Xenopus tropicalis: one gene and its partner. The protein of the gene in region 2 interacts with the protein of the main gene of each other region in a pairwise test. Links are inferred from orthologs where the notes say so. Each region holds a gene or a part of one and is shown on either strand. Other genes may lie near its edges.

Evidence for each region. The genes of interacting proteins can lie anywhere in the genome.
Region 1: the proteins of egfr (region 2) and wasf3 interact in a protein complementation assay, tested with the Homo sapiens proteins (3 studies listed by BioGRID and IntAct, with this or other methods). The link is inferred for Xenopus tropicalis from reciprocal best matches to the Homo sapiens genes EGFR and WASF3.

What each region holds. Positions count from the first base shown.
Region 1 is NC_030678.2:155,678,455-155,681,954, forward strand, and holds part of wasf3 (wiskott-Aldrich syndrome protein family member 3), read right to left. Parts: intron 1,789-3,500; coding exon 1,635-1,788; intron 638-1,634; coding exon 520-637; intron 1-519. UniProt on the Homo sapiens protein: Downstream effector molecules involved in the transmission of signals from tyrosine kinase receptors and small GTPases to the actin cytoskeleton. Plays a role in the regulation of cell morphology and cytoskeletal organization.
Region 2 is NC_030682.2:56,863,676-56,867,175, reverse strand, and holds part of egfr (epidermal growth factor receptor), read right to left. Parts: coding exon 3,365-3,500; intron 2,797-3,364; coding exon 2,664-2,796; intron 2,131-2,663; coding exon 2,040-2,130; intron 1-2,039. UniProt on the Homo sapiens protein: Receptor tyrosine kinase binding ligands of the EGF family and activating several signaling cascades to convert extracellular cues into appropriate cellular responses.

The sequences.
Region 1 (3,500 bases), on a different chromosome or scaffold from region 2:
AAAGGCCCATGCAATTCTAGGCTAGCTGATAAACCAATTTCCTAAAATGAGCCAAATCACCAGAAATCCTCATTTTTTAGCCACTCAAACATTATGCAGGCCATATGTGTGCAAAGAGCAATGCCTCAACTCCCAAGCAACGCTAAAATTGACATGATATATTATATTACATATATGAATAGAGTGAAGAAATAAAAGAGATAACTGCACATCTAATGAAAAATAGCTGGCAGATCTGTCAGTGTAGCGTATCTTTGTGTATTACTGCATACCTTCATATGTAATAATATCAGTTCTTGCCAAGTTACATACACAGCATGCACGGCTAGTGCACTAAAAACAAGGCAGGCAGCTAAGAATGTCCAAAAATCTGACTGGGTGTTGCTAGGCAACTAATACTATATTAACAGCGTGTGCAGAAATGGACAGATAAGTACCATTCGGTTGCACAGTAGGTCCGGTTTCCATGCTATTGCGACATATGTTGGAAACTTAGCAGGTACTTTTTACAACTCTTACCTTCTGTCTTCTTTTCTCTTTCCTTTTATCTTCCGTGTCCTGCAGCATTTTTTCTTTCCAGAGGTCAAAGAAGTACGACGGATCGGTGTAGAACTTTAAGCTGTCCTTTTTGTCATCTCTAAAAAGATAAAGGTGAATATTTACATCACTTGCAAGCTCTGTTACATAAGGATCAGTGTTTATTTGGCAAATATGGCAGTGCTCATACCTGCCATGGATCTACTTTATCAGCTCTGATACTCTAATAATGGCTTATAGCACGTGTCAAATACAAGGCCTGGGGGCCGAATACGGCACTTCTGGCTGTTTTATGTGGTCCCTGGTGACTGTGCTACAATGGCAACATTTTGCAAGTTAGGGTGTGGGTTGAGTTTTTCCTAAGCAGCACATCACTTATACGTGGGCTGATAAAAGCTGCTGTCTCAACCCCTCCACACCGATTTGACAGCTTATTGGACTGTGTACGAGTCCCTTGGACTGCTTGCCCAACTGATTTCTGATTATCAAGATATCTATCAGATGGGTTAGAAAACCCCACCAAGCGAGGACCACATTGGCAGGTCTCCCTAGTCCTCCCATATGATTGGCTTATTGGCATAGGGGCATGTCGGTGGCCAAATCAGGCAAAGTTCTGCTCTGTTGATGAACTCAGCAAAAAAACAAATTCTCTTGCTTTCCTCAGACTGCATTTTTCACCCAAACACTTTTTACAAATATAAGTAAGTGCAATTTTCAGTGTATGCTCCTCACTTCAGATGCCTCGTATCCCAGGCCAAATACATTTTCACCCAAGCAGAAAAATGCATAGTTTTGCGTTTCTGCATTGATATCCACTCTGTGTAGTCTACACACCCCAATGCCATGCCTATAAATAAAGATAGGCAAGCAGCACAGGACACCTCCGCCTAGGTGAACAACACAAGCAGAGCAAAGTGGGTGATCTGCTTCATGTATGCCCAGCTTAAGTTTGCCTGTAGGGAGTGATATGATAGGTGTCAGCCAGCATAGGTTTTACTCTAATTTCAACTCAAGGAGAATGTTAAAATCAAATGTCTTTTTATGATTGGGATTGTTTGGTAGAACTGGGAAACACAATCAAGACGCACACTACTAACCTGTATGCTGAAAGTATATCGAGAGGAGGAGGTCTGTCGCACGTTCTATATATATCAATGACCGGTTTCGGGATGCTGTTCTTTGAGACGACCTGCTGGTCCTGTGTGGTCGAACTCTTGAACGCTTTGCGCATGTTAATATCTTGCAGAGACACTATAATTAGACACAAAACATGGCGGTCAAAGAAAATGTGCGATTCAGACTGGAATCAACCTCAGTTTTTATGTGCACTAGCGGATTAGCTAATGGGTTAAACCGGTTCATACCATATCAAATTCGACCCCGTCTGTGCTGAGTAGAAGCAGTATGATGGAAACATACAAGGTCCATAATAACATGTCTGTATTTTAGAGCCTGACAAAGCCAAATTTCAGAGCCCAAGATATCACCAAGCACTGTCTATAGGCCGAGTGCTTTTATACAGGTCATGGACCTCCTTGGTGACCTCTAATATCCACGTTTTTTACAACAGGGGTAAATAATTATAATACACAAGTTAGTCATGTGATGGTGATTAGTACTGTAATTTCTAATTATATAACTGATGACATCACTAAGCACCGTTTATAAGGATATAATTTACAGGATATTCATGGCTCTTGTATATAATAAGGGTATAATTTATAGCATATTAAAGGAGAAGGAAAGGTAAAAACCTAGTAAGCTTTATCAGAAAGGTCTATGTAAATACAGCCATAAGCACTCATAGAAAAGCTGAACTGAGTCCTCTATCAAAAGAAACACAGGATTTATTTTCCTTCTTTCCCAGGGCGCAGTTTTCTCCCCCTCCCTTAGGAATGTGTAGTCTGAGCTATAATGACTAAGCTGCAAGGAAGCTATGAAGACCAAGCTAAAATGTCAGCTGCAATCTCAAACAGAGAAAGCTTCTAGGGTTGTTTACTCAGGTATGGTAATGCTTTCTGCAAAATAAATATAGCGTTCTAAGGCACTTATATGGCGAATCTATTGGCAGTACAATGCCAAAATGACTTTCCTTCTCCTTTAATAGCTCTTGTGTATTATAACTCTACTAAGATATAATACACAAGAGCTATTATTATCTCTGTTGAGAAGTCACTACTAGACCTCCTTTACTTTCCTCACCACACTTAATAACTGGCTATGCAATGTGGGTTGACTTAGCCCCCTAATTGTACATATCTCTCAATTCTGTGCTTTGGCCACCGAAACAGCTATTTCTAAGGGCGAAGACAGACGGAGCTGCTTAGTAGCAGCTACTTGTCACGGCTACTAAACGCCAGAAAATTACTCTGCCACAGACAATACTGAGAATTGCCTCTGCTAAAACACACGTAGAGACAATTATCAGTAAATGATCCGCATTGTCTGTTTTTGTAGCTATGGTGAGTAGCTGCTACTACTAGCTCTGTAGTAGTACAGTAGTACTGTATAGCAGTAGAACACAATTTTGACTAATAACATTAACCTCAGAGCTCAATGACAGACCATTTTACATTCCACAAGGCATGTTGTGCAGGGTGTTAAGACAGTAACCAAATAGACTAATTTGCAATTGCTTCAAGCTAGGAGGTTAATAGATTGTGGTGATCCTTTCAGAGCCCAACCATTAAACAAAGCGATAAATTATTCAAACCCTATTACAGCCCAATTATAGTTTTATTTTCCAGGACAGGCAAGTGAAAAGGTCAAAAATATATATAACTGACCTTATACAAACACTAAACAATCAGAAGGGGAAAGAATGCCTAACATCATTAGATAATAATCAGTTTCCAAGACCCAAATTCTGATTTCTGCTCTTGGGCTGCTGTTAATTTTTAACCAGCTACTATTTGACTAAGGGGGGAAATTATATAATTGCAGTCACCCCTCCTTTCACTATT
Region 2 (3,500 bases):
AAAAAATCTTCAGAGGGGCCCAGCATGAACAGTCCCTCCTCCCCTCCTGGCTCGCTCACCACTTACGTCTAGTTTTTGGCTTAAAGGACAATGAAAGGTTAATATAAATTAAAAGTAAGTCTAAAGGCATTCTTTTTAAGTACTTACTGCATATCTAAATTCCCAGATCCCTGCTTGCTTCTCTGAGATATGGTGCTGGCAGCCTACAGCAGTGTGAAGACTACAGTGACATCATTGAAATCTCTCTGTCCTTCCTGTAGGCTGCCAGCGGCAGCCTTCCTATTCTCTGAGCATGTGTGTAACTTGATCCTGTCTGCTGTTCTGAGCTACACATGCCCACCAGCCAATCAGAAGCAGTTCTGGCAGAGGGGAGGGGGGAGGGAATGAAACACATGTGCAGTATGAAGCAAGGAGGGAAAGGAAGGGAGATGGCTGCCTATTCTAGAAAATGTGAAGTAAGTGTGACTGAGTAAATATTTGATTAGGTGAGCCAAAAGTGTGGCGTTTTTACTAAACAATAGGAGGACTATTGGGCAGTATGCTTTTTAAATTTTGACTTGCATTCTCCTTTAAGTCACATGGGGCTTGTATGCTGACATCAGCCTACATCTGTGCCTGCACCCCAAGCCACTGCCTGAGTCCAGGATTAGAAACCCAGTGTGGATTTTGGTACCACAAGTTGCGAGTATGCATTTCATCAGTGAAATTCATTCTATGTGCCTGTACCAGGGCTGACGAAGTGGCTCTGACTGCACACACCCGGAAAGCCTGTTCAGAGCATAGAGGCTGATTCTCTTCAGTCCAGTGTGGCCGTATCCATAAGGTAGAAGAGGGACTGGATAGGGGGCACTATGATGCAACAGACCTTACGGACCTGGCCCCCCCACTGCCTACCACCCTGTGGGGTCTGCTTTATATAGTTATGCCCCTGGTTTAACAGCTAAACTAAATGTTTCACCACCTCCTGGTATTAACCTCATCAGTAGTGGTGTTTTCAAATAAAGTACAATTCAAGGGGAGCTCTTATTAAAACCAAAATGTAACACATTTTGGAAATACCATCCTTTTTATACATAGTTAAAAATTGTGCAATGTTTCTGGAGTAATCAAATTACTTGTCACTTTCTTCTCTCAGAAGGTCTCTTTGTGAGTCAGTTTAATACATTAGCAAGGCAGAGGGGTCGCAGTGAAGAATTCCAGCTAAATGTCCATTAAAAAACCTAACTGATACACAACCCACCAGTATAAAGAAAGATTGCTGTGAGGGCTTAGTGAAAAGTAACTTAATTATGGTCCTTCAGTTTTAATAATTATATTTTGAAAGTATCTTATTTCATCCAGATGATACAAAAATTTCAAGATTTTTTTTAAACCTTTTGATCTCTTGTTGCTGTATGTATATGGTATAAGGAAAAATCTTTAACCATTGTATGGTTCTTTATGTAAACACAATTTTCCCTTTAACCTATCTTTTCTAAGTCAATTGCTGTTATTGACTGCCATGGGCTGGATTTTGTGTAAGCAAGCTCTTTAAGGGCTCTGGCACACGGGGGAGATTAGTCGCCCGCGATAAAACTCCCTGTTCGCGGGCGACTAATCTCCCCGAGTTGCCTACCCCTGCCATCCCACCGGCGAACATGTAAGTCGCCGGCGGGATGGCAGACGCGGCGGGGCAATTTCAGGGAATCGCCGAAAAAGACTCGCGATTTTCGCGTCTGCCATCCCGCCAGCGACTTACATGTTCGCCGGTGGGATGGCAGGGGTAGGCAACTCGGGGAGATTAGTCGCCCGCGAACAGGGAGTTAATCGCGGGCGACTAATCTCCCCCGTGTGCCAGAGCCCTAAGACTACATGAAGCCAGCTGTTCCAGTGTACCAACTAGGCCAAAACTCGCAATCTGTGGATTCTGGCAAATACCAGAGGTGCTGCTGTAAGATGCCATAGAGAGTCACTATTGGACTGGTGGGGGTTGTTTGGGCCAGATCCTATTTTGAATGCTAGTTCAGGCCTGGTACCAACCACATATATTATATACTTACAGGACCCGAGCAAGTTTGGGTTTCATTCAGCTGTAAACACTCTGCGTTACAGGCAAAGCACTTGCCATCTTCTGTGTATTCTCGTGGCTCCCTAGTAGGCATATAAGAAACAGTCACACATTAAAACATATGCAATACACTCGTCAAAGTACAGGGCTGCTTATGCCCTCAGTATTATAGAGAAAAAGTAAAGATAAGTTCAACGTTATACCAGGGGATTTGAAATAACAAAAAAAAATATATATATATATATACATACATATATGTGTGTATATTATATACATTTACTACATGTGTACCAATAAAACCTCTTTCTTCCTTAACACATAAATATAAATAAAGTTCTATTGAGATGTAAATATCTTTGGAGTGTCACTGGGCACTGAATAAACATTGCATACAAATTTATGTACAAATGTATATAAAAAGTTCTACCAATAAATAATGTACTTTATGCAGAATATAACAGTATAATATTTATACTAAATGTAAAAGTTTATAAAAGGTATTGTGCAATTGTGCATCTGCAGGAAACATCATGCTTTGCACTTTTGAGTTGTGACAGGCTATATGTGCGATCTTGCATTTAGCCCATTACTGAGGTAGAATTCTAAAAGAACTTACCCACTAAGAAAGTTGCAGTTTTCTACACATTCCCTTCCACGCATATATTTACGGCAGGAAACACATTGAAAAGGCCCAGGTCCCCAACATCCCTCCTCAGAGCACAAAGGATCACAAACATTGCCTTCACTTTCTAAAAAACCCAACACAGAAAACTAGATTATGGTAACCTACAGAAAAAATAAGCCACAATAATACATTTCACTTTTATAAACCATGGGTCTGTAGATTGCTCATAATCATGCTCTGGGCAGAGCCCAATCTTTGAATAGGGATTTCAGGAAGGACAGACGGTGGCTGCCATTGAGCAATGAATACCAATCATTTTACTAATGGAGGTAGTAATAGCAGATCCATATATTATGAATTATGTAATTAATTAATTAATTATTTATAAAAATAAAAGGACACATTATCTTTTAAAATACAATGTGTAATTGTAACAAATATAAATAAAATACATTCAATTAAGAAATCAATGCATTTTTCTGACCTTAAAATCCTCTTCAACAGTTGAGGCTAGTATTTTTTTACTCAAAATGCAGTGATCCAACACTGTAGTCTTTAAGCAGTGTCTAAACATGTGTAGACATCTGAATGCCATGATCTACTCTGTCTGCCATAAACTTTACAAGAAGCCAGTCTCCCAGCCCATACATACCATAAGGCACAAATTACACCTGATATCTAAGGAAACTTACCACACTGCTCAGGACTTTTGTTGTCTTCAATTATCCTTGCCTGTTTCGGTATTCTAAAGATGTTTGTAAAGTTGATGGTGTTAACAAAGCAGAGATTTTTGTTTGTTTTAATGATAACATCTCCATCACTCACTTC